Kluyveromyces lactis: one gene and its partners. The protein of the gene in region 2 interacts with the protein of the main gene of each other region in a pairwise test. Links are inferred from orthologs where the notes say so. Each region holds a gene or a part of one and is shown on either strand. Other genes may lie near its edges.

Region 1 (3,664 bases), about 420 kb from region 2:
ATGAACTCGTCAAACCATCAGTTAACGTATCAACAAAAGCAGAGTTATTGTTGAAAGCCCTTGATCATGTCTTTTTCAGATCAAAATCTGGCACTAAACAAAGAGCTGCTGCGTTCACAAAGAGAATTTACATGGCTTTGCTGCACACTCCAGAAAAAACATCAATTGCACTGCTGAAGTTTTTGGATAAACTAACTACCAAATATCCAGAAGTACTGGGTTTATACTCTACAGACGATAGAATTGGAAATGGGGAGTTCCGCATCGACACAGACTTACCAAGTAGAAGTAATGCAGAAGCAGCAACTATATGGGAAAATAGCCTTCTTGTCAAGCATTACAGTCCTTCTGTTGTAAAAGGTGTAAGATCATTATTCCATAAATCTCAAGAACATAAATAGTTTGGGGGATAAAAAGATAATTAAGAATTCTCTTATTTACCACCTTCATTTCAATGCAATTGCATTAATTATAGTAATATATACTTACTGTAACAGTGTCTATAACTTGAAATTGATGTTACCAGATGCATTATCCTTCTTTATATTACCCTTAACATCAGTTTTGGCACCCTTTTTATCGATAACGGTTATGTTCTTGGATTTAGTCAAGGTATTAAGAACATCATCCGTCTTACTCTTCTTTCTAGGTTGTTCGGCTCTTTTCGCAGATAGCTTCGATCTCTTTCTCTTAGCAGCTCTACGGAGTCTGTTTTTATCCTCTCTGGACAGTTCATCTCTGGACATCACCACACCATTCTTCAAAGTTATTTCATTAGAGTTCTCTGATTTACCAACTTTGTAGATTTCCTGAGGAGCTAATGTGGAACCACTTGACATTGTTAGTGGTTGTGCATCTTCCATAGAAATAGCGGCGGTTTGCACTCTTACTTCAAGATCTTTCTTTATCGGCTTAGGTATGAAGTGGGCTGACGATAATGCATCTAGTTTGTAAACCAAATCTTTATATAGCTCTGAAATTTCATCGTGACTTTTCTGTAATTCTTCTGATATTTCAGTATCCTCGGTAACACCTTTGAAATCATCTTCATAAATTTCAGCTAGTGATTTTGATGACTTTACATCACTTAGTTCGAATCTTGGTTTATTATTGTAGCCTGAAATATCGCTGATAACCCTCCTCTGTAGATCGTTAAAATCTTCTTCCTTGATCCTTCTACGGATCATATTCTCGAGAGTTTCTGTTACCTCAGCTGTTATAACTGGCACAGGTTTGGCAGTTCTTTCGAACTCAAGATCTTCCGTTAACAAGGCATCTTCTGGCCTATCGCGAGCTTTTACTTCACCTTTTAACGCCCATTTCTTCTCAGCAACAGCTTCCTTTTCGAGGGATTCTATTTGTCTTTTTAGCTCAAGTTGTTGACGTTCAAAGGTAGATAATGGTTGTTCAGCAGTTTCTTCATCTGATCCCTGAAAATCATCGTCTTCGTCAGCAAAAAGATCTAACTTAGCTTCCTCCATTGCATCATCATACTCGCTTTCGTCAAAGGATTCATCCTCTTCGGCCTCTGCTTTCTTTGAAGGTCCTGGCCGCCTGTCCTGGGAAGATTTTTTATTAGATGGCTTATCAAAGAAATCGTCGTAATATAGAGCTTCTTCATCTTCCTCCGATGGAACATCTGCGAAATAATCAACTTCTTCGTCATCCTCATCTTCTTCATCTGCATCTTGGCTTCTATTCTCAGCCTCAAGTGTTTGTCTATTGAATTCATCTAGATTGAAAAATTGATCGTTTACACCAAACTTGTCTTCGATCGCTTGTGGACTTTCTTGTGCTTCTACAAATTGATCATCAGGTTCCGAATCACTTTCGTTTTCCAATTTATCTTCTTCCTTCTCATGTAATTCTAAAGGTTCTGGTTCTGAGAACTGTTGTTCTTCATCTAAAACGAGCTCTTCATTTTCTGCTTCTTCCTCCTCCTCTTCAATAGCAGACTCTTCAGAAACTGGAGCTTCGTCTGCAGACATTTCATTGGAATTTTCAACATTAGAGGCATCATCTTCGTCTCCGCTGCTTTCCTCGCTCATATCATTCTCATTATCAACCTTCAGTTCGGCGATTTTTTCCATGATATCACCTTGAACATTATCTAAAATGATTTTTGACTGCCACCATACCTGGTTAGCATCTAGCCCATCAACCACTATCTCATCTAATGTTGTCTTTGAATTTCCATTGTTTTTATTCAGATTGATGACTTCGTCAAAGTAAGTCTTCACTGCCGATAGTGGTTCCTTGGACTCCAGAGCATCCTGGGAAAGAAGTCCAACAGGATTAGTTTTCAAAATTTCCAAAAACTGACTCATGTTGTGTTATGTGTGGGTCAGTGAAACGTTACCTATTTACTGGTGTAGCTGTAGTGGATGTATCGATACGATCAAGCTGCTACTATAGACGCATATTTCGTACATGCTGAGTGATGCGATGAGATGAGTTTTCATCAATTTTTCAGGTATCCAAAAATTTGAAAAAGAAAAAAATGATGGGAACTGTCGCCAATGCGGGTAAGAAGAGAGATAATAGACACAGTTGTGAGGCATTGGTTGGGTGATGAATACTAGACAGAAGTACATATGGGTGAAAAGTCATTATATGAAGTGTGATTCCCTTAGTTTGGGTGCTAAAATTTTGCATAAAGACACGTAGATGCATATACAAGAATGAGGTGCTGGCAAATTCAACAGCATTTGTAGGTAATTCATGAGGTGAAGGAGGCGTATACTCCAAGAGTGGATAATACTGCACTAATTAATATCGTAATATTACACGCTATCAATTCCCAAGATTTAATGGTTTTGTAGCAAATTCTTTTGTAGAACAAACATGGCAGAATGAAACAAATCATGAAACAAAGTGCAGCACCCAAGAATGCAATTATTTTGTCAAATTCAGGGAATAAAATAGCAATAATCACGAACATAACATTCACCATGATTCTGTTAAATATTCTGGTTGCCTTTGCGAAAAAAACCTTCGATGCTGGTTTAGTTTCATCGATGTGCACTACGTTAAACATTGAATCAAAGATGGAGACAATCGGTCTTGCATTAAGTGGTGTTTTGGCAAGTGGAATCAGTGAAAGAAGAGTTGAAATTAGGCCATAAACAAAAGGCGGGTATCCTGGAGTCAATAACACACTTCTTGTCACTTCATTCATAACAAGATTACCGAACATTAAAAATCCAACGACAGCAATTCCGATATCAGTAACAATGGTGATGCTATAAGTGGTCTTCAAACAACGAGTAAACTTCTCCGGATGCCTCATATCACTCTTTAAGTTGGGAAAGACTGCGTGACCTCCCCAGCATGCACTCAATAACCCTAAGGAAAGACAAAACTCCTTGAATGAATTGGGCCACATCGATGTGGCTTCTGGTTGCAATAATGACCCTGGTGAATATTGTTTTAGCAACCCACAGAAAACTACTAACAATGCAGTTCCAATAGTCGAGATAATACCCAACAAAGAGATATTTGATAAAACACTTAATGGCAAAAATATTGGAGGAGTAACTGCAAAAAAAGCGACGAATTTGAAGAAGTTGACCGAATATTCTGGGAACAACGCGTTCAATGAATCACCGAACAAAATGATCAAGGCTACACCACATGCTAATAAATCCATAGCAAATAGGAACGA
Region 2 (4,221 bases):
CAACGGAACCTGGCATGGTGAATGGACGTGGCTCTACAAATGGCTTAATGGCAATAAGCTCAATCAATTCTTCTGACAAATGGCCATATAAGAGATGAGAATCTAGCCATTTCTTAAATAGTCTTACCACTGGAGAGTAGAATGGGTAACTATGGGAAATGTTTTCCAAAGTTCTAGTATGTCTAATAGCAGCTTGGTACTTGGCAGTAAATTTCAAGAATGTCTTTTCCAGCTCTGGTCTTAGTTCTTTTCTTGCGTTGTTAATTGCTCTCAAATACATAACTTCGTCTCTCTCAGTTAGAACTCTAAACTTGAAACCGTATCCTTCTGGAGTCAAAATGTTTAGAGTAACTATTTCCAAGTTGTATGGAATCGATTCATCACGTGTAAAGTAGCACTTGTACTCACTATGAGTCTGCGTGATGGATTCTTGAATCTTCAATAAAAATGCAGCTTTAGCCTTTTCCAACGAAGTAATTTCGTCAGGCCATTTTGTAGACGTTTCGAATTCGATAACAACGTCTTGTAAGAAATCAGGATTAGAATATGCGTATGGGACAGGCTGACATAATGATGTGTACCTGAATGCAGAACCAATAGGTAAAAGAGATTTAATTGATAATGGGAGTTTTAGCTCGAACATGATTTTATACAAATCGTCAAAGGACTTCTTCAAGTTATAGTAGCTTGATAGGTTTAGAACTGATGTCTTTGAAGATGCAGGTAGGTTCGGTAGTGGTAACAACTGTTGGAATTGGCTAGTGGAATTATTGATGAGTTTGCAGTCTTCAGTCAAATGTAGCCTTAGAACATAGGACAAAATCGAAGAAACAACACTTTCAATAGCAGAAGTTGACCAGACACAGCAGTTTGCAATGGAACCGTCCTTGAATCTACGAAGAGATGCTTTTTTACCCCAAAAAATCTTGAATTCATTAGCTTCATTAGTTAATTCTTCTGTGTTCTCTGGGCCCTTAGTCACAAGCTTCTCACATTCTGCAGGGTTGATCAACAGTTTAATTTGGATTGAAGTGAAATTTGGAACAGCAGCAACTTTTCTCTTTGTTACTGGGAAAGTAGATCTATTGTTAACTAGAGCCACTTCAAAAGCTTTGATTCTATCCTCAAGGGCAATCTTCACGATGTTCGATACTTTATTGCAGATGAAATTTTCGAATGATATAAAGCTAATCTTTTCAACGGGACCGAACTTGGACAGTAGTAAATTGATGGATGGGATATCTAAATCATAGTAAGCATCATATTTCACTGTCTTGATCTTGTTTAAGTTAGTTAAGAACATGTTTTCGAACTGATCTCTGACGACGTCATTCAACATCAATAAACTTTCTTGCGCGTAGATCTTTAGCATTTGATAGCTGTTAACAGACATTTTACTCAGTATGTTAACTTTGGTGGTTTTATCAAAGATTGTAGGTGTTTGGAAACCTTCTTCAACGTATTTTGAGGAAGTGACAGTTGCAGTAGTGCTATAGTCGGAATAGAATTGTAAGTACCCATCAGTACAAAGATCCATTGTGGCCAAATATTTGATTACACCTTTGAATAATTGGTAAGATGAGAACCCATGCAATAAAATTCTGTTACCATTCAACCCACCACCATTTAGTAGGGCTGCCATCAACGTGGCAAACTCGAAATTTCCAAAACCACCCAACGCATCTGAATGAGACATATTTGATGAGAAGCCTCTCTGAGATAACCATAGCTTCCCCAAAATACAAGCCTGTTTAAACTGTTCTGTTTGTTTCTTTGATTTGTGTAAGTACTTCAAATAGTGTTCGTGACAAGAAGATGATAATACCGAGAAATTGTAGAAAGGTGTCGGAGTTTCGTTATCCTGACCGACTCTGATACAGTTCTTATTGGGTAGCAACTTCTTTGATTCGAAGAAATTGTATGGGAACCCCACGATCAAGTTTATGCTGAATTTAGTCTTGTAGAAATTATAGTCCGATGAAGTTTTCTCCTTACAACTTATCTTTAATACCGTTTGTAAAGGATCGTTGTTAAAGTATGAATATTCCAAGTGTAAGAAATCCAGCTGGCTTCTTTTCAGGACGAGTGAGATATGATGAGTCAAATACGCGAGGTATACTGAACGCTTGTGGAAACATCTAAAATTCAAGAAATCTTTCTTTTCGAACAACTGCTCAGGCATAGTCAACAAAACGTCTACTGCGGAGCCCTGAGGTTGGTAGATGGCAGTCTTCAACCCGAATGATCCAATTAAACTCACGTCCGGCTTTAAATAATTGAATTTGTACTGTGTGTTCTTCGCTTGTGGTTTTGGATCCACAAACGGAACTGATACCACTTTCCCATGGAAATATTTCTCTACATCTTCTAAGCTTTGCGGAGTCCATTCCGGTACTTCCTGTATCATATCATATAGTTTATGCAAAAACTTCTCCACCCTTACGATGTGTGAGTCCTTCAACTTCACTTGTTCCAATAACTCATCGATTTGTAATTTGAAAATGTTCGATTTGAAGAGTTCAGCCGTTTCTCTCGCTATTTGTATATCCTGGGAGCTCAACTTTGGCTTCTTAGCCTTATGGTCATGTGTGTTTTCCTCTTCCTCGTCTTCTTCCCCGCTGGAAGAGGCAGTAGCCTCTTCCTCTCTTTCTTCTTCTTCTTCTCCAGAAGAAGAAGAACCAGTCTTGTCACTGTCATTTTCAGCCTGTGAGCCAGTAATAGCTTTTACAAGCGCCTTCTTGGTGAAACTACCATTCCTGGACTTCTCACCATCTGGTGCTACACGTTTCACAGAGGCCATAGTTCACTAAATATCCACTTAATTCACTAGTTCCTGACCGTTTGCGCCTCTGGATTGATTATAATACAGAATGATAGCCAGTGCCCGAGTCCTAGGGTTTCAATTTCCCCTAGCCAAAACAGAAGAGAATTACCCTTTTAATATCTAGCAAACTAATACGAGGGAAATCCAAACAAAATCACTGTGATAAACCTGCCTATGGGTACGTTCATTCTATGTAAATGCGAATTCTTTAAACCTTTAAAGCTCATCGCCTGGCAAATTTTTCCAAAATTCGATGTGAAGGATTTTGATGCGTCTGTCACTTTATACGACGTGTCCAATCTCAGTCTCTCTGAATAATCAGTTAGATAGTCAGATACATAGAGTCATACTGGACTAAAGCCAAGTCCAACTCAAGTGCTGGAACTGGTACTATCCCGATATGTAGTAATATAGGGAATACATGGTTTTAGACGTACCGTATTGCTAGTTTTAGTGCACAATGTTACTTTAAGAAAAAAAAAATAGATTCGAGGAAGGTCAGATTGGATATTGAAAAAGATGAATGCCACCTGCCAGAATTGAACTAGCGACCTTTGCATTACAAGTGCAACGCTCTACCACTAAGCTAAGGAGGCACGAAATCTATTACAAATTTTACAGATTTTTTAGATCATTCGGCGGGTTATCTGTTGAGACGGATTAGAAACAATAGACGGTCAAGTATCAACATGAAACATCATTAACCAATCTGAGTTATTATATAAAGAGGCCATAGATCTGGGGAAAGACCATCAACACAGTCATGACAGATCGCCAGGTGCATCAACACACTAGCTATATATAGCTAGTAAACACTATGGATTCATCTGATACCGAAGGTTTTGAATTAATTACACGTGACTGTGACTGCGACAACCAGGATCACCTACATGGCAGCGTCACTGAGTCTCCGCAAGGAAGTAATGATCCGACAAGAGGTATCTGTGAAGATATACAAAGACTCGATATCGTTAGTGATGGTAGTGCTCCTAAACAGAGTTTAAAAGAGGATAAAAATGTTAACCCATACTCAGACTTAGATCCCGAGAGAGAGATATTTGGAGGAAGTACTTACGAAGTGTTTGATAGGGAATACAGATATCGAAGCAGTCTGTTGTTTAGTTATTCCAAGAAGAATAACAACTCGTGTGACAGCGAATATAAAGCTTTGATGACTTTTCCAGGTTCCAAGACAAGACGTCTGTTCATCTACAACAAGTGAAGTCAAAGGACCAATTTAACAGATGGGTTTACTGTTTAATTGGACAATTGAGACTAGCGGGACTAGAGAGTTTTATCCCGAACAAAAGCAATGACTGGTCCATAAATATAATTGACAACGACGAATTATCAAATTCAATTGTTTTCTTCTGGGAAGAATGTGTCCCGAAGGAATG
Region 3 (2,764 bases), on a different chromosome or scaffold from region 2:
CCGGGATTAGAGCTCAAGCAGCTGAAGAACTAGCTAGATCTTATGGTTATGAGAAGACTGGAGTATGGCCTGGTTCGATCAATGAATGGCTGCAGAGGACCCAACCAAAGAAATGATTTGTAATGTCTTGTTCATTTTATTTTTTTTTGTTGTATCCATAATGAGAGTGATATGATTTGTTTGCATCTTCTTCCAAAAAATAACTGGATAAAGAGTAGGCTTTCATTTTCCCGAGTGATCCAGTTACTTTACTTAGCTGATGTGGTATAAATTTATTTGAAATCACGACTGTTCTGTCCCTTTCAGACTCGATTGTCAAATCTATGGTCCTAGATTTGGGTTCTATCTAAATTATTCCCGTTAAATCAACTATATAGAGTGGCCTAAATTTGAAAACCTGACATCTATACTTTATGTACACATAATGAAACATCCGTTTCAATAAAGGCAATATCTCTTTGAAATTAATGAGTAGAATGCAATTGATCCGATCGCATACTTTACCTCTTATGAAATTCGAATTGCTTAAATTCTTTACCTAATCTCTTCTTTCTCTTTCTATCCATTACCTTTTCTCTTTGTTTACCCTTCATGTGCTCGAACTTCCACTTTTGTATTACCTTCCGCTTCTCTGAATCCTTCAAATGGTATTTATTCTTGTTATTCTTGTTGATTTCTGCTTCATAATCCTTTACAATCTTTTGTTCCATTTCCATGACTTGCACCGTTTCTAATCTTGATTTCATCCTTCTCACCTGCTGCTCCATTTCACTCTTCTCTCTGTCGCTGATTTTACTTAGGAATTTTCTATCATGGAGCATGCTATCCAATTCGTTGATCTCTTTTTCTCTGTACTCATCCAAGAACTTGTATCGTTGACGGATTTTTGCCAAGTCTTCTGACTTTCCCATGGCTTTATCAAACCTGACATCTTGATAGATGGATTTACTCTTATTATCTTCTAACCCAGGAATCTTTCTCATGGAGCGCACTTTCTTCTTTGACGATGATTCGGTTGGTGCGTGCTTTCTTTTACCTTTCTTCTTTTTACCATTCTGATTAGCCTCATCGTTTGATTCTTCATCGAAAAAGCCGCCATCACTATCAGAATCACTTTCTTCTCCGAAAGATTCTTCTGCAAACATTTTGATAGACTGTGACTTTTGTTGTGCTTCTTCTTCCTGTAATCCGCTCTGACGTCTCTGTCCATCATCAAGTTTCCTTTGTTTCTCAGTCAACTCTCTTGATTTTGGCTTATTCAAATGTTTCTTCTCACCATTCGCTTTGCTTTTGCTTTTTCTGCTGGTTTGTTCCTCATTGTCCATCATTTCATCAGCTTTCTTCAAAGATCCAAATGAGAGTGTCTTTAGCTCATCTTCGCTTTGTGAACCTTCTGCATCACTTGTATCGTTTATTCTTATGATTGATGCTATGTCATCTTCCTCATCTTCGTTTCCTGAATGAAGATCTGGCTTGATATTCTTGAAGTAAAATGACATTTGTATATTACTGGTAGTTTTTGTGGCCGTGGCTGCTTACAGGTTAGTTATCAGTCGCTTCTACATAGAAGTTCTTCTTGATTTTAAGTTTAGCTCATCGCTTCTGCATTGGCACCGTATAAAATTTTCAATATCTGGAAGAAACTTGAAATTCCTATTCAGGCGATGTAAATGAATAATGGACAGGAAGGGAGCTTCAAATAATAAGGTCTGTGATCATACCAACAGCGTTGACTCAATTTAATCCACTGAAGCATTGTAGTGTTTTATATCTTATACTACATTAAATTTCTTTTACTTATTGTTATATATACATGAATTTTGTGATGGGTATCTCGTCACAAGAAATCATTGAGATTCAATACTTTCCTTTAGGGCCAATTTTCTTGAATGACGATCAAAGTAGTTCCCTAGTTCCATGAAGTTCATACTGCTTGGATCAGCTTCCAATTCAGTTTTATCTTTGAAAGTAACTTTCACTGTAGGTTTCTTATTAGAGCCAGAAACCAAAACTTCGTTTTGCAATTGTAATCCACTTGTTCTTTGTGAAGGAGGAATAGCACTTAAGAACAACCTAGCTGTCTTGGCTGTAGATGAAGATAAATGAGACGATTGATGTTTTAATAGTAAAACAACCGTAAATCATATTATGTTAGTAATGGTGTTCGGTAGTTTTAAATGATGTCCAACTAATGATTTCTCTTTCTTTGAAGACATACCTTCCTTTCCTAATGGATTGAATTTCACAACTGCCTTAGTAAAATATTTCGTGATCATGTTGCTCTATAGTTCTCTTGACAACAGCTGACAAACTCCCAAGTATTACTCTGATGAGACGTCCTCATCCAAAAACATACTTCACAGCTGTATTCATCTCTAGCTTTTTGCCTAAAACTGTTTAAATGGTAATAGCGATCTCATCAGAGGCTATACTATTACCCGGATAGTTTTTGAATGTTTTTGGGCGATGTTTGACGAAATGAAAAATATTGAAAGAAACATCCAATTGCAAAATGAACAACTTCAATATTTGCAAATGAAGCAAGACTGCTTTTAGCACAATCGGTTTTTAGGATCCTTGGATTGTTATTTAAGGTCGATATAAGGTACTCGCCTTTAATTGTTTGCAGGTTGAACTAAGTGCGGGTTGTTTTTCATTCGTTTATTCAATTGTAACAGCCGTTGATACGGTGAATCTATTGGCAAGCTTTTTAAAAAGGAACTATTCATATTCGAATTGGACTTTCAGTTTGATTGTAACTATA
Region 4 (3,010 bases), on a different chromosome or scaffold from region 2:
GAGAAATTACTGGATTCACAAACATTTTGGAGTGATTTAAAGGCAGGAACGGATTCTGCCTTTCACGTTATTTTCCAGAAAAGGTGGGAATATCTTATGAAGTTCGGAAAAAGATTAACAATTCCTATTGTTCCCTATTTCGGACTAGCATTCAGATTCTGTCTACAGATTTTGTCATCGATTTTGGAACACTGCAGAGAAGTTCATTGTGACGGATGTAATATCCTTCAAAGCAAGAGGTATGTTCAGAGTGAGTTATTGATGTTGAAAGACAAAACGTTCATTGCAGAATTTCAAATGCTTGACTGGGCTCAGCTTCAGGATCAAAACAGTTCCACAACATCTGAAAACTTTCTCAATGAATGTCAATAATAAATTCGTAGATTTAGAAGCACCCGATCAAAATATATCCTCCAACACTTATTATAGGAAAGCTCACACAGTTGTTATTAGTATTATTATTATTATTAACTTCATAAAAATATTGATCTATGGAACGGTTATAATGTGTATTCGTTGTTTCTAATTGGAGCAAACCATGGATGAGCCATAGCTTCTTTACAAGAAAATCTTTCTTGATGGTCGTAACGAAGAAGATTATCGATTAAATCAATGATATCATCGTTTCCACATAGGTGCTTGTTGGAATCATTGACGAATTTCTGCCATGGTCTTCTGATGTATTGATCCATATCAATAAACTCATCTGGGAGTGTTATCTGATATTTCTGTAAATATCTTTCGAAATCATCACTACCCAAGACGCGTACAATCTTGACTAGCTGGTCAGTATTACTCGACCCATAGAAGAAAGGCTCTTTCAGAAAAACCATTGATGCTAACATTGCTCCAAATGACCATAAGTCTAGCGAGTAATCGTACATTCTATAATCAACTAGAAGTTCTGGGCCCTTGAAAAATCTTGACGCAACGCGGACATTGTATTCCATCGATGGATGATAAAATTCAGCCAAACCCCAATCGATTAGTCTCAATTTGTGTTGCTTATGGTCAATCATTACATTGTGTGGTTTGACGTCTCTATGCATAATACCCATCGAATGGCAGTAGTCCAAAGCTTTCAAAAGCTCGAACATATAATAACGAATATCAAGATCCGAAAATGAAGCATACAACCTACGGAATTCCGTATTGTCGATATGTTCAAAAATCAATGCAGGTGTCTTGGATATGGGATCTCTGACCACATCTAACAATGTTATAATATTCTCATGCCCGTTATGAGGTAAGTCATATACTTTATCTCTCGCATATTTCAGTACTTCTTCTCTTCTGTTTGTGTAATATTTTGCCTCATCGTAAGGTTGCGCAGTTGGCGGATTCTTCTCATTCGAGAGGTTTGCAAGTATGGTAATTTCTCTCTTAATCTTCTTCTTCTTCACAGGTTTTAGCATCTTAATGACAATCTTATTTCTCGTGGATAACTGTACGCCTTGGAAAACTTCACTATATTTACCACGGCCAACTTTGCATTCAACTTCGTACTGTGAGTTATTAGCCTTCCATTCTATTGATGTATTTTCATAGTCCCAGTATCTTTGACCACGAATCTCGTTGGCATCACTATAGACTCTTGCCTCACTCCACACTTTCGATTTCATCTTCCTTTTAATAATGTACTGGAAAGTCTCTAAAACTACCACGAAATTAACAACGAGAACGATTGCCAGCCAGTTTTTTGTTGACCTTTTCTATTTCTATAAACAGTGGTAATAATGAGTCCGAGAAATCCAAACCACTCACCGTATATAATCCAGTACGTTTGAAGCTTTTGTAATGCCTATACTCAAACTGGAATTTTCATTTCTGGGTTATCTGATTTCTTTTCAGTTCATGTCTCTCTTGCAAAAATTGACATTTCGAAACTACAGTATGAGGAGTTAGGGTAACGGTTTTATGTATAGAACAATTCTAGCCAATAATTGTGTTGACTGACGAACCGGCAAAATATAATGGTGTTCATTTAGCATTTATACGTAGTGTATGTGTGTATAATTTCTTACTTTATTTATTCAATTGATTATAATTTCTGGAAGTTTTCAATTAATTCGGAGTGTTGCTCCTTTTGCAATTTGGTAGAATCATCGTTACGTTCTCTCAACACGTTGTAAATATCCAACGTCTTTTCGAAATACACGATTTCGAGCATTGATCTAAGCTTAGATTCAATATCTTCAATCATAGATCCCAAGCTGGAAGAGTGAGCGGGTACTAGCTGTTCAACAGTAGATACGTTTTGCAATTTTACGGTCTTGGAATTTTCTCTAGTTAGATTACCGGACAATGATAGTTGTTGTTCTTTTGATAGGTTTTCCAAGTGCAAGATCACCGTTGTAGTGACATTATATGTGACTTCCATACCCTCTTCATCGTGGGTGGCAGATATGACGTGGATACTGTCCCATTTAGAATCATCTGATTCAGCTTTCTTGAAAAGAATGACTCCCGCGAAATCAGTTGATTCATCAACGTCCCAGAGATACGTTGAAGTGTAACCACCCTCGTAGTATAGGTCCCTATACAACTCGAAAGAATTGTTGCATGCAACTTCTAGTTCTCTCAATGGCTCACTGGGAAAAGGACTTTCTTTCAAATCTTCGGCACTCAATTCAGGGAAGTACTGGTTAGACCACGGTGACCTATGAGAATCGATGTCACGGTTGTAGTCGCAACATAAGAATTCTTTGTTGTTAGCATCGGTATCCTTCTTAATGGTCAATGGGATATCAATTGAGGAAAGTAATCCTTCTGCGATTTCAGGCTCCAACGCAATAAGGTTCTGTAAATGGGTTTTCACCTTTGTTGGATCCAATCTGTATAAAAGCTCGCAAGCAGCATCATATTTCTCGTCCACAGACATTCTAGTTCCGTATCTTCAGTATATTTACAACTAGTTACCACGCTCAATGAGTTTTCTTCAGTTTGCTTGATGTATTTACATTTACCCTTTCTACTCCTTTAATGATTTCTTTCGTAGTTTTCCTTTCAA
Region 5 (3,440 bases), on a different chromosome or scaffold from region 2:
ATACTCACCGTTATATTTGTGACTTTTTTGAGTGTCTCGTTTGTTCCAAAACACTAATTTATCTAGGTTTCTCCTTTGCAAAAATTCAGCCGTACTCTGTTTGGATATTAACATTTTAGAACTTCCCTTCCCAAGCATACCGAAATTTAGTCCGTTAATAACAGGTTCAGACTGTACGCTTTGTGATAGTTGCCTTTCAGAAACAGGTAGACCCAAGGAATGAAGACAAGCTTGATATTTCACAAAATGACCACCGATAATAGACAATTTCTGATTGTATGGTTTAATACCTTGGGCAAACGACTTGTGAGTCAAACATTGTGTAATGATGTCGTCTGGCAAGTCAATACCATATTTTTCCAAATTCAAACCTTGCTTAACAGTAGATACATGGCCATCCTTGACAAGAGAATCATAGTGCAAACCGTGTGGATTCTTCAAAGACTCAACTGGGTCTCTTTTCAAACCACGTACCCTAGTCCCAACGTGTAGATAAGAACCATTACGCACGCCGAATTTTGTGCTTAAGTTAAGACCAATTTTGGTTAAGGACATTATTCCAGAAGTAAAAAAATACTGTCTGAATGGTTTCTGTCTGGTATTTTCACAATTCAATCTTCCTCGACCGAATATCAACAGATTGTAATTACACAGGACACAAATATTAGAATTATTGAATCTTAATTCTAACAGTTTAGTCCTTTTAACTACGATTCAAACTGTTTCTTTGTAGTTTTTCGACTCGAGGCAGCGATCCAAATTTTGAAATTTTTCAAAATTTTTCAGATCACTCCAAACGAGGTCATCGCTGTGTCTAAGTGCTATCTTGTATGATGGGAATACATGCAATATCAAGGCATTAGGTACTGTTATCAAGGGAATATGGTCATTATGGGCTGGTATTATGAGGGCTTAATACCAGCTGTATCTTAAAGTAAGCTTTGCTGCATCTTTATGCCTTGAGAAGTACTTTTATATCGATTTTTACACTTATTGTACCCTAAGTTTTGTGAAAAGAAACGCTTCAGTAAGATCAATTTTAATTGAAAAAACTGCAATTAGATGTAGGCGATGAGATGAGATGAGATGAGATGAGAGAGTAGTAAGAGATTGATTATATCACTCACAGTGGTTTACTATCGAATTTATTCTCATTACTAAGTAACTTCTCACAGGCCAATACTAGCACCGCTAATTAACATGGATATCTTTAGAGTCTTGACTCGTGGAGCTAGCATAAGGAAGAATGGTGATTCTAATAGAACACAGTCTGCAGACTTTAGCATGGCTAATGAAAAGAAGAGTAAGACAGCTGGCAGCTCAAGTACACCAGCTAGAGATGAACAACAATTGACTAAGGAGTTGGATTTTTTCCGTAATAAGAAAATCATGAATAAGGTAAAGTCTGAGTCAACCAAAGGTGAAGGTGAAGACGAAGTACAAGAAGATAATCAAGAAGAAGACGAAGATCATGCTGATGACGAGACTGAGTTATCCGGGAAAATTATCACGAAACAAGATGCGTTAAAGTTACGTAAATCTTATCAAGGGAATGTTTCAGGGAATAGTGTTCCTTTGCCCATCGGTTCTTTTGAAGACTTGATCACAAGGTTCCAATTCGATAAGAGATTGTTAAACAACCTCATAGAAAATAACTTCACTGAACCAACTCCGATTCAAAGTGAATCTATACCGATTTTGTTGCATGAACGTGACATGATCGCTTGTGCTCCCACAGGTTCTGGTAAAACGTTGGCATTTTTGATCCCACTACTGCAACAGATAATCAACGATAAAACCACAGTTGGTCTTAAAGGTTTAATTATATCCCCAACAAAAGAACTTGCGAACCAGATCTTCATCGAATGTTCCAAATTAGCGAACAAGATATACTTGGACAAGAAAAGACCTCTGCAAGTTGCCCTACTTTCAAAATCATTAAGCTCAAAATTAAAGAATAAAGTTATCAGTGAGGACAAGTACGATATTATCATTTCTACTCCCTTGAGATTGATTACTGTGGTTCAGGAAGAAGCCTTGAATTTGGGTAAAGTGAAACATTTAATATTTGATGAAGCGGATAAATTATTCGACAAGACATTTGTGGAACAAACTGATGATATCTTGAGTTCATGTACTGATCCACATCTCCGTAAAACAATGTTCTCTGCCACTATACCATCCAACGTGGAGGAAATCGCCCAAACCATCATGAACGATCCTATCAGAGTCATTATCGGTCACAAAGAAGCAGCAAATATCAACATTGATCAACAATTAGTATTCTGTGGTAACGAGGAAGGTAAACTTATAGCCATCAGGCAATTGGTTCTTGAAGGTGAATTCAAACCTCCAGTAATCATCTTTTTGGAATCTATTACAAGAGCCAAGGCATTGTTCCATGAATTGCTATATGACAAGTTGAATGTGGACGTGATCCATGCCGAAAGAACTCAAGTTCAAAGAGATAAAATTATCGAAAGATTCAAGTCTGGAGACCTTTGGTGTTTGATCTGTACCGATGTGTTGGCTCGTGGTGTCGACTTCAAAGGTGTGAATCTGGTCATCAATTATGATGTTCCTAGATCAGCTCAGGCGTATGTGCATAGAATCGGTAGAACAGGTAGAGGTGGTAGATCCGGTAAAGCCATTACTTTTTACACGAAACAAGATTCTTTGGCAATTAAACCAATAATAAACGTGATGAAGCAAAGTGGATGTGAAGTCTCAGAGTGGATGCAAAAGATTTCTTCCATGTCCAAAAGAGAGAAGGAATCATTGAAAAAGGGTAAGGGTCATGTGGAGAGGAAACAAATCAGTACTGTTCCTAAGGTTGTAAAACAAAAAAAGAGACAAAGAAGAGAAATGATCGAAGCTTCAAAGAAACGGAAACTCTCTGTATCGGATGCCGAGGAAGAAGCTGGCAACGATTCGACCTAACCTCAGGATAACCCCTGTTGCTTATTTCCAATATCAAATGTTCGAATTAAGTCATGATGATATACATATAATTAAAGCGTCGCAGAATCCGTATGTATATTACATATAGACGATACATATATATAGTCTTTTAACACTTCATCTGGGAAACCAGAGTAAAAGTCGCTTTATTTTTAGGTTGTTTTTTTCTTGGCTGGAAATGAATATAGTGTTGTTTGTAGTTGTTAAAATTTCGTTCGTATGTTACTGAATATGCTTTTAAAATTGATACGGTCGGCCTCTCAATCAATTCCATTTTTAGTGGTGAGTAGAGTAGTTACGGTAACCAACAACCTTTCTTCTACCGATAATTTCACCCAATGAGTATAAACCTAACAATTGCACGCCGAAAGCACCGATCTTAACGGCTTGGTCCTTTTCAATGTTCTTCAACAAGTTAACAACTTGTTGAGGCTTATCAGCATAACCCAAAGCTTGTCTGTACAATCTGGTGTAGACCA
Region 6 (3,744 bases), on a different chromosome or scaffold from region 2:
AAAGAATACACGACACATTTATACTTTATCTGTCAAAGATATAAAAAAAAACAAAACGAAACGATAGATACTGATCCCATGGACAAGATCAACTCCCGTACCGCGAGACGAACCTACGTGCTTGCAACCAGTAGAGAAATTCTAAAATTGTTTACGAGAACGGGATTTCCGAGCCGGATAGACCGTCTACCAAAAATGCACGTTCTAAACCAACACAGAACACCTCATTAAACGCTTCTACATTTTCCATGTTCCACGCTTTAAATTTTTAACTTGTTTGGTTCTGGATTAAATTGAATTCTGAGAGCATCACTAGCAAACAATTGTTTTTTTTAATTAGATTATTTACAGACAGAGTCAAACTCCGATGTTTCCATTACCCGGCCATAATGATCAATCAAGCTTAAAGCTGCATGGAGGAAGAATGTCAGGTCTAAGTCGATACATAGCAGCTGCATTTTTCAATGCGTTAGCGTTTTATATTTTTTCTTTTATGTACGCTAATGCTGAACTTCTTCGTCAGAGTATCCTTCTTCAACGTCGACCCTCATTTCGTCATCGTCGTCAAATCCTTCTTCAGTGTATGTAAGTTCCTGATTATCAGCCTCGCTGTGTTCGTCATCATCTTCAGAGTACTCTGCACTGTCTTCACCATCGTCTATTAATCCAGCATCGTCTAGCTCTTCTATATATTCCACTTCTTCCTCTTCATCTTCATTTTGGTTCGACTCGTCATCCTGATATGGAGCGACAAGTTCAGAATCAAGTTGATCCTTGCCGTATTGTACGGCTCTCTTACTGTTCAATTCATCTAATGAACGTGTAATACGTGTATCCAATGCCATGAGTGTTGGTAAGAGATCTGCTCGTTTCCTCAAAGTAGCATGTAGCGATGACAATGAATTTATCAAATTTGGAATGGTAACTAAGTAACCCCCGTGAATTATTAGGCACCATTTCACCCACACGTTCAAAGCACCTTGTCTATGAGTTTGTCTGGCGATACGTTCAGCGAGTCTTTCCAAGAGAATCGTAGCAAGTTGGGGGGATAACCTGGTTATGGTTGCTTGAATGACTTTTTCGTCGCGTGTGTTAAGGACTGTTTCCAATAGAGCATGATCATTTGATTTTAATGCTTGAGCTAATACAACAGAAGAAGTACCAGCGTTGGCTCTTCTCCTTTCCTTTGGTTTTCTCGATGGTGGTGAAATTATATTTAGTCTATCCTGTAAAGTTTCTGAAATCCCTTCTCCTTCTATATCATCTAAACTTTGGACAATGGATTCCACATGCTTAAAGTTATCACCAGATGTTACCGTTGCATTACCCTCTTTGTAGAGCTTTGCCGAAGAAATATCACTGTTTTGGTTGTTCCTGGTTTGTGTAGATTTAGCAGATGGCAATGGCTTGGATAAAGTGGTGACTGAATCCGTTAGGTTACCTAATTGAACTTGATCAAAGTAAGGTGTGGTTGCATTTTCTAACCACGAAAAATTAATTAGATCTTTGTTGATAAAACTTTTGATAATAGGCAATCTGGTTGCGGAATTAGACCTTAATAAAGTTATAGTTTTGTTTTTTTGTTTGGATATCTTACCAGAACGTCTCTTATTCCCTGAATTGATTGATACCAAAGGTTCTTCAAAGATAGCAATATCCCCATCTTCTGTTGTTGCCGACACGTGAGACCAATCCTCAGATATCGAAATTGATATAACGTTCGAGTCCGCTACTAGGACGGACTTAGTCTTGGTAGTGTCCAAATCATAAATATTCAAAAATCTATCGTCCTGAGATGCACTCAAAAATGCTGTTCCATCTGTGGTCACTTGAAGGAAAGACACAGGTGAAATATGGCCAGGGTATTGTAACAACAATTTCTTTGAAATGACATCGATTAAGTAAATTTGATGAGAAGCGACAAGAATACGATTGCTATCAACTATGCATAGCTTTTTTAAGTCCTTACATTCATCAATTTTGAATTTTTTTGATACATTCTGTGATACCATGTCGAATAAAAAAATAGTATCATCACCAGTCAAACACCAGGCCTTGTCCTTGCTTGAAAAGAGTTGGAAATCTAAAACTGCTAAGCTTGATCCTGTGTTCAGTTTCGCCACTATTTCATTCGATAAAGGAGAGTATAGCCATATTTCCCCTAGGTTTAGACCCAGAACTACCAATGGTGTGTCATTGTAAGTAATCCATTGTATGCATGTACAGCAGACGTCTTTCCCCTCCAAATAGAGAAAATTATCGTTCACTAAACCAGATTTGGAGGCAGTTGTTGGCTCCACTGATACCCGCTGTTTATCCAAAGCGGTGGAAACGTATGCAAAATATTGTCCGGTTGGATCATATTGTGATAATACGACTGGCGAAGCTGTTGCCATCGTTAAGCTTGCTATTGTTATTCGTGTGGTAGAGTGTAGACCTCTAGCTTAAACAGTACGAAAGCCGGTGATTGTTCAATTAATATCCCAAGACGTTTTATCGAAACACTTTAGGAAAGAAGTAAGTACACAAAAGTAAATACTGTGCGATGAGCTCAGATGAGATGCGATGAGATGAGCTATGAAAAGTTTCAAATGAAAAGCTTTAGCTTGGAAAGGAGAAAGAAAAGTGAGATTTACTTACAAAAAACAAGTGCCGGGTAATAAGAAGTTAGCATATATTGTTCACGTGATTTGGAGCATATAGCCAGTGGTCCCCAATTTAAGGCTTTTCTTCAGGATACATCCACTGAGCTGAGTTCGTTAACTCAGCTTTTGCAATCTTATTTTACAACCTCCAAACATTGCCTTCCTGCTTTCAAGTTATACACTTCATATCTCCTAACAAACACTAGTTAGCATTTCTACTGTGATGAGAGGAAGCTGGGTGATTAACACAACATAAAGAATTTACGTCAAGTAAGGAAAGAGCTCCTGCCTAACAACCAAGGTCAACACTTATATGTCTCTGTCCTGTTGCTAATTTGAATATACATCTATATATATATATTTTCCAATCAGAATTCCCTTATTGTCCCTTGTTTGCATAGGTGATGCGATGTGTGCGATGTGTGTTGTTGTTTTAATTTTTTTTTTTTTATTTTCAACTTTTCTTCTTAGTTTGATTCGTAGTTTTATATATAAAGCATCAAAAAATGTGCCAATTTGGCGAGCCATATCATTTTTTTGCATAGTGAATGAAATAGCGATGAGTATTTTTTTAGTATATATTATTATACATAATTCAGATCTAGAGTTCAAGGAGGACAAAAAAGTGTAATACCAGGCATTTAAAAACAAAAGTTGACATTGTTAAATTTGTTTACAATCTGTTATCATCTCAAGTTCATCCAATTATCTAATTGATTACTACGTGAAGTGCTTGTTTGGTATATTGACTTGCAGCACAGAATTAAGTTCGAGAGTATTATAGTTTTTTCAGGGAAGCTTGCAAAACCAAAAAATAATAATCACAAGCTTTATCTTAGAAAATAAAGACCGTTAGAATTTCAACCATAAGCAATTGAAAACATGGTTGGAGAGGTTGACGACGTTACATTACCGAAGGCTACCGTTCAAAAAATCATATCTGAAGTACTTGATTCCGATCTAACATTCAGTAAGGAGGCTCGTGAAATAATCATCGAATGTGGGGTAGAGTTCATCATGATGCTAGCGGGTTCTGCTAGCGAGATCGCAGATAAAGAGTTGAAAAAGACGATAGCGCCTGATCACGTGATCAAATCCT
Region 7 (4,120 bases), about 450 kb from region 2:
CTTTGATTCGACATTGCAGAGTAGTAATTGGAACTAAAACCCACGAAATTCTACCCTCACTAATCACAGCCTATCTAATACAGGTATATTGGGGTTTTCTTATATTTGACACCAACTTTGGATAGAATAGAACTCTTATCGTTTAGAAACGACAACTTTTGCTTCTTTCTATAATACTACACATACAAAAGCTATTCTTATTTCATTTTAATTTTTCATTCGCAGAACAGGTTTAAAACAAAACTTTTTGAATGAAATTTCCCTTCAAGTAACATGTCATTTTAAACGTTTTGATCTTTGGAAGGTCTGTGGGTGAAATGCTTTGAATCACGAAGCAAGTCGGTAAATGCCAGAGCTACTTTGATGAGGCAATAAATTATTCAAGTGTATTGTCGTAATCCTAAAAGGGAGATGTTATCCTATTATTGGAATGCAAGGTTATCGTCTATTTTTATACATGATTAAATAAGTCAAGCAGTTGATGAATCTAAGATCCAATCAAATTTGCTGTTAGAGATTCCAAATCTTCAAGAGTCTGTGGCTCTTCCACTTCGATAATTCTATCACGTTCAGTAGTTCTTTCTTCCTCTTCCTCATCTTCACTGGAATCAGCATATTTGCTCTTTTTTCTTGGTTGCCTTTCATCTTGAGAATCGTCTTCAGTGTCAGCTCCAGATTGCATATCGTCACTTAGGTTCCCAGTTCCAAGGTATGCTACTGGTTCATCCTCATAATCACTATCCTCCATATCAGCTTCCATTTCTTTTCTCATTGCTTCTAGTCTCTTACGTTTCTTTTCTTGCCTTTTCTCTTTTGCAACCTGTTTATCTTCTACATCAACCTTTGCCATAAGCTCTGCCTCCTTAGACAAGAACTCTTCTTTTTGCTTCTCTGAGTTACCATTTTGACGGAAATCTTGTTCATCTTCTAATTCGTAAACAGGATGAGCTTTACCATCATCGTCAAATTTGACTTTGGTTGGGTTACCATTAGATGCTAATGTTGCCTTCCTTGATAATGCTTTCTTTTGGGCTCTCTTAGATGTTGGAACAAGAAGTTCAGGTAATTCAGCTTCATTCAACTCATGGTCTTGACGTTTAACCATGATGAAATCTTCATCCTCATCATCATGAGCTTGTGCTTTGGTGACATTCAGATAGTGCTCACTTAGCACAGTTTGGTTTTTCCGTTCGAACATCTTGTCATATCTGGTCCTCACTTCAGGTTTGTTTTCTTTAATCACATCACCTTCATCATTTGCCTTTGCTAGGGTTAGGAGCTGTCTTGATGTATTTTTCAACTCCTTTGCCTTCTCTATCGATTTCATTCCCCTCATCTTGATCTTTGGAGCACCTGGTAAACCTAAAGAGTTAGCAAATTGTTCCAATGGTATTTTGTCGAAATGGAAGACTTCTTTGTCTTTTTGAATGTATATCGATCTAACATAAGAAATGAAAGCCTTTTGGCCTAGATATTTCAATTCGGGATCTTTGAAAAGGAGTGATTGTAACTGAGGTTTGATAGATTTCTTTTTTGATTGTTTGATATTTAGTCTACTGGGCTCAATGTTTTTAGTTTTTAATCTTTTCAAGAATCCCTCCTCTTCCTCTGGTGTTAACATAATGAGTGACTTACCTTCTTTACCGAATCTGGCTGCTCTTCCAACTCTGTGGATATATGTATCGACATCCTCAGGACAATCAACCTGGATCACCCAATCAACAGATGGGAAATCAATACCTCTAGCAACCACATCAGTTGAGAATAGACAGACATGTTGCGCTCTGCTGAACTTATCCAGCGTCTCAGTTCTCGCCGTTTGCTTTTGTCTACCATGCAAGTGCATCAAAGATATACCAGGTTGTAATTTCCTGAAAGTTTCATAAACAAAATGCACCTGTTTAGAGCTTGATAGAAACACAATTAACTTAGACTTTAAATGCGATTTTATGAAACTGAACAGAATGTCAAGTTTGTCAGGTAGTGGCACTTCGATATATGACTGCTGTAAAGATTCTGGAGTCGCAGATGAACTATTAGCATTTAAAACTTCCATCGTTCCTACCTGTTTGTAATCTGTCAAAGATAATCTAGCCAAGTCATCCAAACTTTGTGATTGAGTAGCTGAAAACAAAAGTGTTTGTCTTGAAGCAGGCAAATTATTAATAATGGCATCAAGGGTTCTCTTGAAACCCATATCTAGACATCTGTCGGCTTCATCGAGTACTAACAACTGTAAATTTGAAGTATTGAATCCAACGGCTTGATCCATATGCTGTAAGATTCTGCCTGGTGTTCCTATTAGAATGTTAATTCTCGAAATTCTCTCTTTCTCAAAAGTAACATCTTTACCACCAATAACCAAACCGGCGGAGAAGGTAGTGTGCTTACCAATTTTACTTAACACTTCATATATTTGCATGGCCAATTCTCTTGTTGGGGAGATGATCAATGCACCTAGCCCATCCATGTCTGTCCACTTCTCTCTGTATAACTTTTCGATAACAGGGATCAAAAATGCTAGAGTCTTACCAGAACCTGTCTTGGCAGCGCCTAATACATCGTGGCCTTTCAAGGAGAGAGGTATGGACTCGCGCTGAATCTCGGTTAATTTGATAAATGCTGCTTCTTTCAACCCTTTTAGAGTTTGTTCACTAATGGGTAAATCTTGAAACAAATTAGCCTTAGCAATTTTCGGGTTATATTCTTCAACCTTAGTTTCAAGATCTTTGATCTTCTGGCTGTCTCTTTCACGAATCAGCTTACGCTGCTGGGTATTATGCTTTTGTTTCTTGGCCATCTTTAAATGCTCTTTGCAAACCAATTATAAGTTATATTGGCACAGTTGATTAAACGTTTAGTTAAATGATTAAATGCACCAGTTTGCTACTTTAATCAACTTCTCTATAGGTCGATTAATGATACCGCTCAAAGACAAAGTAAACTACTTTTCCTTGAGGTTGAGGTTCGAACCTCTATCTAGATGAGATGAGATGAGATGAGCTCTTCTATTTACCAAAAATTTTCTTTTCTATTTCTTTTTTCCTACAACATGAAAAGCGATGAAATGACAGATGAACCTTATATTGTGAATTGCACAATATATGGAATAAATATGTAAGATATATGGAATATACCGTCATCTATGGAAGCAACGGCGCCAAAAGAATGAGCATCAAACGTGAAGGTAGCAGATATCGATACGATCACGAAACGAAAAGAAGCCGCTATGAAGGTGCCCAAAAAAAAGTAATCTTGCCTATATTTGAGCCATCAGGATTATTGGAACTGGAAAGCCACCAGAAAAAAGGCATACAACTTAAGCATGTAGAGCCCAAAGATGCGATATCACCCCACGATTTCTATAAAAAGCTAAAAGTACCTAAGTGGGATCAAATTCGTTATGAGCTTGTTGTGTATAGGAAGGGCGTCAAGGGTGAAGTAAGTAAAACTAAGTTGCATGATAAAAGTTGCTATATTATCGGTAGAGGATTAGGTCAGAGTCTACGACGCTTCGAATCTGATGGAGAGGAAATTATTCTTGCTGATATCCCAATCCAAGAGGAAAGCTGTTCGAAAGAACATTGTGCCGTACAATTCCGACAAGTCGGTGAATCTTTAATTCCATACTTGATTGATCTTGATTCTTCCAACGGTACGTGTTTGAATGATTCAGCCGTTCCTAGCGCCCGGTATATCGAGTTAAAGAGCTCTGATATTATACACGTATCTGAAGATCCAAATGATTCAGATTATGAGCTCATTTTCCTAGCCGTATGATCTATTCTTTTGTATTTTTCATGTACAAGTCCTTCTTGAGAATCGATTTCTTGAAACCTTATATTATTTGTATTTTATAAAATCGGAAATGTAATTTCTATACATTACAAAACTATGTGAGAAAAAGATAAATCAATATCGATGTATGCTAGAGAATGGAAGAGGTAGTTGGACTCGTTTTAAATATGTTAAACAAGAACTTTTTCTTTTTTTTTTTTTTGCTGCTTTATTCTTCTCGTTGCGTACAAGTCAATGGAACTTTCCGCAGTTGTGTTGTTCCAGACATACGGGTCAGCATCAGAGCTTGTCAAATATAGAAATGACATGCGCAAGACAATAC

The links.
Region 1: the proteins of UTP22 (region 2) and MPP10 interact in binary tests that used the Saccharomyces cerevisiae proteins (3 or more experiments, as listed by UniProt). The link is inferred for Kluyveromyces lactis from reciprocal best matches to the Saccharomyces cerevisiae genes UTP22 and MPP10.
Region 3: the proteins of UTP22 (region 2) and RRP36 interact in binary tests that used the Saccharomyces cerevisiae proteins (3 or more experiments, as listed by UniProt). The link is inferred for Kluyveromyces lactis from reciprocal best matches to the Saccharomyces cerevisiae genes UTP22 and RRP36.
Region 4: the proteins of UTP22 (region 2) and CKA1 interact in binary tests that used the Saccharomyces cerevisiae proteins (3 or more experiments, as listed by UniProt). The link is inferred for Kluyveromyces lactis from reciprocal best matches to the Saccharomyces cerevisiae genes UTP22 and CKA1.
Region 5: the proteins of UTP22 (region 2) and ROK1 interact in binary tests that used the Saccharomyces cerevisiae proteins (3 or more experiments, as listed by UniProt). The link is inferred for Kluyveromyces lactis from reciprocal best matches to the Saccharomyces cerevisiae genes UTP22 and ROK1.
Region 6: the proteins of UTP22 (region 2) and UTP5 interact in binary tests that used the Saccharomyces cerevisiae proteins (3 or more experiments, as listed by UniProt). The link is inferred for Kluyveromyces lactis from reciprocal best matches to the Saccharomyces cerevisiae genes UTP22 and UTP5.
Region 7: the proteins of UTP22 (region 2) and HCA4 interact in binary tests that used the Saccharomyces cerevisiae proteins (3 or more experiments, as listed by UniProt). The link is inferred for Kluyveromyces lactis from reciprocal best matches to the Saccharomyces cerevisiae genes UTP22 and HCA4.

Annotation. Positions count from the first base shown.
Region 1 is NC_006040.1:821,799-825,462, forward strand, and holds MPP10 (rRNA-processing protein MPP10), read right to left. Parts: upstream 2,328-3,664; coding exon 501-2,327; downstream 1-500. Other genes in the region: NOC3 (Noc3p), read left to right, coding at 1-401; AVT1 (Avt1p), read right to left, coding at 2,720-3,664. UniProt on the Saccharomyces cerevisiae protein: Involved in nucleolar processing of pre-18S ribosomal RNA. Required for the early cleavages at sites A0, A1 and A2 during 18S ribosomal pre-RNA processing.
Region 2 is NC_006040.1:1,246,570-1,250,790, reverse strand, and holds the start of UTP22 (rRNA-processing protein UTP22), read right to left. Parts: upstream 2,801-4,221; coding exon 1-2,800. Other genes in the region: KLLA0_D14762g (uncharacterized protein), read left to right, coding at 3,642-4,046. UniProt on the Saccharomyces cerevisiae protein: Involved in nucleolar processing of pre-18S ribosomal RNA and ribosome assembly.
Region 3 is NC_006039.1:595,764-598,527, reverse strand, and holds RRP36 (rRNA-processing protein RRP36), read right to left. Parts: upstream 1,500-2,764; coding exon 501-1,499; downstream 1-500. Other genes in the region: KLLA0_C06864g (rhodanese-like domain-containing protein), read left to right, coding at 1-116; MRPL44 (mitochondrial 54S ribosomal protein mL53), read right to left, coding at 1,848-2,086, 2,219-2,276.
Region 4 is NC_006041.1:381,486-384,495, reverse strand, and holds CKA1 (casein kinase 2 catalytic subunit CKA1), read right to left. Parts: upstream 1,623-3,010; coding exon 501-1,622; downstream 1-500. Other genes in the region: CAP2 (F-actin-capping protein subunit beta), read right to left, coding at 2,042-2,881.
Region 5 is NC_006039.1:1,528,741-1,532,180, forward strand, and holds ROK1 (RNA-dependent ATPase ROK1), read left to right. Parts: upstream 1-1,200; coding exon 1,201-2,940; downstream 2,941-3,440. Other genes in the region: MRPL15 (mitochondrial 54S ribosomal protein mL57), read right to left, coding at 1-555; ATP20 (F1F0 ATP synthase subunit g), read right to left, coding at 3,238-3,440. UniProt on the Saccharomyces cerevisiae protein: ATP-dependent RNA helicase involved in 40S ribosomal subunit biogenesis. Required for the processing and cleavage of 35S pre-rRNA at sites A0, A1, and A2, leading to mature 18S rRNA.
Region 6 is NC_006039.1:579,001-582,744, reverse strand, and holds UTP5 (Utp5p), read right to left. Parts: upstream 2,397-3,744; coding exon 501-2,396; downstream 1-500. Other genes in the region: negative cofactor 2 transcription regulator complex subunit NCB2, read left to right, coding at 3,528-3,744. UniProt on the Saccharomyces cerevisiae protein: Involved in nucleolar processing of pre-18S ribosomal RNA. Required for optimal pre-ribosomal RNA transcription by RNA polymerase I together with a subset of U3 proteins required for transcription (t-UTPs).
Region 7 is NC_006040.1:801,296-805,415, forward strand, and holds HCA4 (RNA-dependent ATPase HCA4), read right to left. Parts: upstream 2,801-4,120; coding exon 488-2,800; downstream 1-487. Other genes in the region: CTK2 (Ctk2p), read right to left, coding at 1-14; PML1 (Pml1p), read left to right, coding at 3,127-3,780. UniProt on the Saccharomyces cerevisiae protein: ATP-dependent RNA helicase required for ribosome biogenesis. Involved in the release of U14 snoRNA in pre-ribosomal complexes. Required for pre-rRNA cleavage at site A2.